2 linked regions of the Drosophila melanogaster genome follow. The protein of the gene in region 2 purifies or fractionates together with the protein of the main gene of each other region. This does not show direct contact. Each region holds a gene or a part of one and is shown on either strand. Other genes may lie near its edges. The genes, in order: CG6013 and Gagr.

The links.
Region 1: the proteins of Gagr (region 2) and CG6013 purify together in Drosophila melanogaster (affinity purification with mass spectrometry, with the first as the bait; one large-scale study listed by BioGRID). This does not show direct contact.

Annotation. Positions count from the first base shown.
Region 1 is NT_033777.3:19,029,836-19,033,090, reverse strand, and holds CG6013 (uncharacterized protein), read right to left. Parts: upstream 1,589-3,255; 5' UTR 1,521-1,588; coding exon 1,066-1,520; intron 1,003-1,065; coding exon 816-1,002; 3' UTR 682-815; downstream 1-681. Other genes in the region: Prp18, read left to right, coding at 1,898-2,920; P5cr (pyrroline 5-carboyxlate reductase), read right to left, coding at 3,019-3,082, 3,144-3,255.
Region 2 is NT_037436.4:16,392,820-16,397,566, reverse strand, and holds Gagr (Gag-related), read right to left. Parts: upstream 2,982-4,747; 5' UTR 2,618-2,981; coding exon 1,559-2,617; 3' UTR 687-1,558; downstream 1-686. Other genes in the region: CG44836 (uncharacterized protein), read left to right, coding at 1-624.

The sequences.
Region 1 (3,255 bases), on a different chromosome or scaffold from region 2:
TATAAAATCGCATTTAATGCGCAAAAAGAGGTGCCTAACGACTTAAAGCTCATACTTAACTGGCCGATGTTACGTGCATTTGTTCGACGGACCAGCAAAATATTTGGGTGGCTCTGGTCCAAAAAACGCCACCAAACTTCCAAGCAGCAAGTAGTGAAAGCGGAAGCACTTATTATTCTCCGTATTTTGCACCACTAAAAAAAAAGTGATGGACAAAACGCTGGAACGACAACAGCAATCAAAGCAATACATATAATTACTTCATTCAGAAACGCAACCGGAATCGGATTCAGGGCCACAAAGTTTTTCAGCCGGTGGCAAATAAAAATTCGGCATTCAATAAGCGGAGAAAAGCTGTCCGTTATCACTTTCGGATCTGAGTTATCCAATCCTATGTTTATTCGCCCGATTTTCTATAATTTTATTGACTCTTGCATAATTAAATATTTCTTTTGTAAGAGCGAAATTATTACAACCAAATTGTGTACAATATAGAAAAATATGTGTTGAATTTGTATCCAGTTCTTATAATAAGTACCTATATAGCAAGATTTTATTCTAATATGAATATGTTAATCTTATTATTGTTTTTTGTCTTTCGTATCCTTTTGCATGGGATGCTTTATGAAGGATAATAGCTAACCACTTTTGCAATTAACACAAATTCAACTCACTGGGCTTAAATAAATAAATAAATTTATTCCGTCCACTTTTTTTTTTATATACTACATTCTGCGTACAGTTCAAAGGTGCTACAGAACGTTTTGATTATTTCTTTGCTGCTAGGCAGCAAACAGTCTTGGTCCTTGGATCACTTAGCGCGCCTGGTTGAATGGGTTGTCTGGTGACTTGTTCCATTCCTTCATCAGAAGCTGCTTCCACTGGGACATGCGAAGGGAAGGATTCTCAGCCTTAATGCGGGGCAGATTGTTGGCTTCAAAGGTCTTGTAGGCGGCGCGCATTCGCTTCTCGGGATGCTTGTCCTCTTCGCTGTCATTTACACTAAAATTGCATGCAATGGAAGATAATTTAAATTGATAAGAAAGTTTCAGTAAGGGAACGCACCTGAGCACCACGATGGCCTCGTCAATGTTGGATGCCACATCCGTGTCGGCCATGGATCGGTTCAGATTCTCCTCGATATGGTTTTGGACCACCACTCGCGCGGCCATCGGCTTGTTGGCCTCGTTTATCGCCTCGATTACGCGCTGCTTCTTCTCCATCTCCTCGAGAATCATCTGGCGGTTGATCTTGGCCAGCGGCTGCTTTCGCTGCGTGTTAATGGATGACATTTCCTGGTCAAGCAGCGCTTTGGCCTCAGCCTTCCGTTTGGCCGCCTCCGCCCGCTTGCGCTCCTCCTCGTCCTTGCGCTGTTGTTTCTTGGCCAGATTCTTGTCGTCATCGCGCCACAGGCGATCCTCCGCCTCCTTGCTCTTCTTCTCCTGCGTGGCCTTCTTGGTGGCCTCCTTGCGCTCGCGGGCCTCCACCGCCTTCGAGTTGATTCCCATTTTCTTTGGCATTGTGTCCTTTATGAATGAATTCCGATCCTAAAATGTTGTCTATTTTTTATTGATTTTGAGCCAGTGTGACCAGGCTGCGGAAATACCAAAGAGTAACCAAAGAAAAAATACTAGAAAAATATATAGCTCAAATACAATTTAAATGTCTAATAAATGCATTTAAATTAAATAAATTAGGAAGTACATATTTATCTAATTATTGATTAAAGTTATAGAACTAATTATAAGTTATTTCATAACTAAAACTTAGTAAATTCAATAGAATACCTATTTTAGTGGCCGCACTTGTATGTAAACATTCTCAGTCTGGTCTCACTATAATCTAAGGCATTTGTTTTGGTTACTCCACATTGTTATTAACTACAAATAACAATCACATGGATATTCTGAAAGCTGAAATAGCGCGAAAGCGCAAGCTGCTGGAGCAAAGGCAGCTGGTGGACGAAAAGAAGAAGTACTTCAGACGCGGTGACCTGAACGCCAAGAACACAGAGGAAGTGCTGCAGAAGGTGGGCTACATAAAGCAGGAGTCCGTCGAGGCACAAGGACAAACGACCGAAGGCGCGTACAGTTTTGTGGCCGATGGCCAGAACATATTGCCGCGCACGGAGGTCATTCGGAGGCTAAGGGAACGCGGCGAACCCATCCTTATATTTGGCGAGACGGAGCCCGAGGCCTTTGACCGATTGCGACAATGCGAGATTTCGCAGCCAGAGGCAAATCGCGGTTTCCGCAACGATTTCCAGGAGGCCATGGAGCAGGTGGACGCCGCCTACCTGCAGGAGATGTTCGCCAACACACCCACCACCAAGGAAGACAAGAAGTCGGACTTCGCTGAGCTCGACGAGTCCGTGTCGTGGGAGAGCATACAGACAATGGCTGCAAATATGGGCCGCAACAAGGACTACGACATGGATGTGATCATCACGCTGCTCACCTTCCTGCTCAAGCTGTGGAACGACCAGATCGCCAACTACAGCAAGCACGAAAAGATGTCCACAAAGGTGAAAATGACCCGCGTCATTTACACGCAGACTAAGGAATACGTTAAGCCGCTGTTTCGCAAGTTAAAGCATCACACCCTGCCAGAGGACATTCTGGACAGTCTGCGAGACATCTGCAAGCACCTGCTCAACCGCAACTATATCACAGCAAGCGATGCCTACCTAGAAATGGCCATCGGAAACGCGCCTTGGCCCATTGGTGTCACTATGGTGGGTATCCACGCTCGTACGGGTCGCGAAAAGATTTTCTCCAAAAACGTAGCCCACGTAATGAACGATGAAACACAACGGAAGTACATCCAGGGTCTCAAACGACTGATGACCAAGTGCCAAGAGTACTTTCCCACCGATCCCTCCAAGTGCGTGGAGTACGTCAGCAAGAAGGATCGGGAATAAACTTGAGCTTTATGTTAGTCATTATTGTAATAACAATATCAAGCGTTTAACTATATGTATGTGTAGAGAGCAAGGGGATGTTCCGGGGGATTACATTTTCACTTCTTTCCCAGTTCAGCAGAGCGCTGTGACGACTTTTCCACGGCGTTTATTAAAGTAGACCTGAAAGCACGAAAGAAAGCAATAAAAAAACAGTGTAATGTACAACTTTATGGCTACCCACCTGAGGTTCCCCTTTTCCAGTTCATGAACGCCTACTATGGTGGCGCCACCGGGAGAACAGACTTCATCCCGCAGCACCGCCGGATGTTTTCCAGTGAGCAGCACCGTTTTGG
Region 2 (4,747 bases):
CGACCTCAAGTGCAATTCGTTCTCTATCAAACGCACTCGATTGTTGGCACCGAGAACGAGGATATGGTGCAGCATGTTCTGGAGCTGATCAATAAGCTGGCGCTGGAGAAGCATCGCAATGCGTACAAGGAGCAGAAGCGTCTCGAGGCGATAGCTGAAGCGGAGGCAGCCAACATTCCGGCAGCTGCAATGAGCAAGGATTCGCCCAGGAAGAAGGATAAACCCTCGGCGCAGCCGGAACCTCCAGCACCTGGACCTCCGGGCTGTACAGCTACTCCACTGCCGCGTGTGGAAAGCATTGATCTGATTGTAACACCCGATATCGATGAGTTCGTGCAGGATACCGTGCCGGATATATGCATAAATCAGGATAATTGCATCAAACAGCAGGTTACGGGCAGTTACTTGGCCTTGGTGCGCCGCAAAACCCTGACACATTTGAATGAAAAGTACCTGATTCGCCGGGCGGAGCAGAGAGGACTCTTTGGTAAGCCCGAAAAGGATGTCAAGGAGCGGTCGAGACCGAAGACTGTGAAGCTGCAGGAGCAGCAATCGGAGCCAGCGCCCCAGGACATGGGCTATGATCCGAGGGGTTCCGCCCACACTTCAAGTGCCCAGCAAATTGTGAGTAAACAAACTATGCCAAATTCGATACCTCTGACCGACCAAAACAGAGATACACTAGGGCTGTTAGACTTTACACTTTATTGTTAACAAAAAAAAAAACAGAATTTGAAGGTGGGCGATTGTTGTTAAAAAATAGGCGATTGGCGGTAGATACATATATAGGGGGTAATGTGACTGGGGACTGAGGTGTGGGGCTATGTACACTCGGGTCTTATGAGCTAATAATTAACATGTCGATACTGTCTGCGGATTGATCATCATCGATGGACACGCGATCGATGTCATCATTACCGAAGATCGAACATCATGCATTCAATTATCTCGATCGGCTTAATTATCTTGTATTTCGACAAGATCATTGCTATCAGCTCGAATTAGTGATTCTATACTTTTAGTTATTTTAATTTTTACTTGATAGTACATAGCTATGCACACACTTTCTATTATTGCAATGCCCTTACTTTCTATTTGCATTATCTTCATCTGTATTCATTCACATGGTTTTGTTTTTTTTTTTTTATTTGCATGTGCAATCTAGTACGCTTAATCCATGGAGGTATTTAAATTGCCGCATTGTTAGTTATAACATTAACATTTGTATTATTTGTTTTATTTGAACATTCACATCATTATCGTCTTAGTTGTACTGATAGGGATTGGTTATGATTATCGCGAAACAGGGATCAGATCACCTCCATCTCGTTGCACCCAGTATGGCTCTCTCATCACAATTTAATCTATATTCACATCCTATAATCTTCGGCCACCTCATCGCCATTAGAGGGTGAGGTATCGGGGTAATTAGCATGAGGTGGCAATCACTTTGCCCTGGCTTAGTCACAGGCTCCAAGGGATTAGGTCATGCTCGATACGCTTATCTCACTGGACCGCCGATCGATTGGAGGGTGAGATCGTCTAGCCATGTCAACTACTACTTCTTCCAAGCACTAGCCGACGAGGTCTTCGAGTAGTTCTGACTCTTCTGCTGCTGGTAGTTCTGCTTGATGTCCGACTTCTTGGTACTCGAGTAATTCGATCCCATGCCCGAATTGCTGCTGGTGCCATTGTAGCTGAAGCTGGACTTAAAGGTGGGGTTGCCAATGCTCTTGAACATCGGATGATTCTTGCCGGCGCCCACCGGCGGAGCCGACTGATTGTAGTAGCTCTTCGTGCTATTCTGCTGTCCCTTGTCGTTGGACATTTGACGAACGTAGGAGGAGAGTCCCAACCCCACAGCGCCCATGCCCATTCCGACGCCCACGCCAACGGTGCTCACGCCCACTCCGCCCATTCCCACGCCGTAGGACTGCTGCTTGTGGCTGGTGCTGAAGGTGGCCGCCTGATGGTCACTGGCCAGAGATCCGCTCTGTGTGTAGAACTGCTGCTGCACCTCCACTATGTAGCGATAGGCCTCCTCCATGCTCTTGGGATTCCGGCGCAGGATCATCGAGTGCGTCGGCTCGGGCAGATGATCTCGGAACACCTGCAGCGTGATGCGCTCTATGTCCTCGAGACTGTACAGGGTGTCATTGTGCGTGAGCTTTCTATTGATCAGTCTGTGCTTGAGTTTGGCCATCTTCTGGTAGTACAACTCTATGTTCGAGTCCAAGACAGCGCTGCGTATCTTGTGTATCAGCGAGTAGCTAGACTCCCGCTCCGCATAGTTGTACAGCAGTTGATCCTTGAGTTTTAGCCAGGACTCGGCCTTCAGGAGATGACCATTCCCGCCGCCATTGCCATTGCCATTGCCCACGGGAGCGCTCATTTGTCGCGTGAAGACCGCCTCCCTGGCGCGATCTGTGCACTTATTTTTGATATGTCCTATCAATTGAAACTTGTAGTAGTCGTCGAAACTATTTATGGCCGGCATAAGGGCCTCGATTTTGTGCAGGAACTGCGGCAGCTTGCCAGGATCACTGCCATCGAAGTTCTCCACTAGCTTCAGACGGCTAAGGACCTGATTGTATTTGTTCACGAACTCGGGATCCATTCTGGACTAATCTCCCGTAGGACTACTATTACTAGTTCCAAAGAGGGTGGCCTTCTATATCTTTACCGTTAACCGATCGTTGCGTTCGCGGCGACGTTTCGGGCGCGACTGCTTCAAAATTCGAAATCGCCGCCAAGCAGCGACTGCCGCGTCAATAATTGTTGTGTATGGAAAAACAGATTTTAGATTCTTACAAATGTATAAATTAACATTCATTAACATGAATTTTACTTGCAAGACCCTCTCCGCGATCCAATCCGACAATGGCAACGGATTCGCAATCGACACGAACCGTGGTCGCTCCAACCGAGCTGAGCACAACTGAACTGAATGAGCGGATCCGAACCCGAACCGAAATCAACTGGCAGAATAAAACAGAACGGAACACAGCGCCCGCCATTCATTGTGGTGGGAGTTGTGGTACCCGTTGTGTGTGGAGTGCAACGGGTATACTAGACCATCCAGGTGGTATGGTTCGCACAATGGGTAGTCACAGTGATATCAATCGAGGATTCTGGGAAAATAAGTAGGACATACGCATGCTTCCCTACTCCCTACTTCACTCTATGGGTCTTACATACAAGATATCTCCTTAATATTACTTTCTTCTTAGAAGTATGGGAGTTCTTATAGAGTTTCCTTGTTGCCTTCAAAAGGGAACGATATTTTTTGTAGCATACATTTGGGTGAACAATGCCGGAAGTCCTGATAATCGTATGGTAGTGAAGAACTCGATTTTTCTTTTCAGCTAAATTCCGCTTTAAGCTTACATTTAAAGTGAATCAAAACTAATGTGATTATATGTAGAAATTTATAAAGAGAAAAATCGCGACCTAAAGCGACCTAGTTGAACTGCTAAATAGTAACTTTAATAGATGACATAAAATAGATAGTGAATTTAATAGATTCAATGGGTATCTCATAGACGTGACACCAACTTCCCCCAAACGCTATTTGCTTACTGTTGTTGCGACGCTGAGTCATAGCCACAAAATCCCAGCACGGCGACACCCTGCGACCGATCGCGATAGATATATGTATGTATAGCCGGGCAGATAGAGATGGCGATAGTGCCAGCCGAACGGACACGGGCCACAAAAAGGCCGTAGCACGCACATAGTCGTTACTCGTACCCCTAATACAACATCAAACACAGCAGCGAATTTCATTAAAGAGCGCACACAAATCGCTTAAACGAAGCGTTAGATTCGCTTTTTGTTTGCCTCGTCGCTGCTCGCCGTGTTAATTGTCGGGGTTCAAATGGCTAACAAAAAATAAATAAATAAATAAATAAATAAGCAAATGGGGAAAGTCTACGCTAGGACAACATAATTTCAAACTGACAGACTGTGCGGCGCACACAAATATTACGCATACGCACCGATTGACAGCGAGAGATGTGATTTTTGCCATTATTCACATGCAAATTGTGGCACACAGCAAAATTGCATTCCAAGGTCCTTTCATAATTTTTTAGATTTTTTCGAAGAATCTAATTGTTGCTCGCTGCTTGCTGCACCCTGCACTCGATTGCTCATCGCCTGATCTGCACTCAATCGACCCCAGCAGCATCTAATTCAGCTCGATTGCCTCCAATCTTGACACGTGCACTGAGAGAAAATGAGTGTAATTAATAGGTTTCACTTGATATTCTAGCTTTATGTTTAATTTTCAACATTTGGAATGATAAAGAATGATAATTGTTATGAGATTCTAAGTTTTATTTTTGATAACATAGTGCTTAGCGATTTCTTCACTTTAGTACTAATACATAATTTTTACGTCTATGTAACCATTTTAAGGTCAAAAACTTCAACTTTCACAAATAAAAATTGTTTTTTTTTCATTTTTATTTAAAATTCAAACAATATTATTAATTATTAAAGTAAACTTTCTGCTATTGACGTTAACGGTACAAGATTAGAAAGTGATTTGAATAGAAGTGCAATGTAGTGGATCATTTCTCGCAGTGCACCGCTGCTCATACCAGCGCACACCTTTATTAGTGGCAGCCCACTCCTAACCCTCCACCACCATCACCCCCCCTCTCTTCCCCTCGAGGGGTCGCTTTTAAGGTCTGCTGCGCCGGCGTGCGCGGTTCGGCTAATTAGCAACAATTTCTGAGCGTTA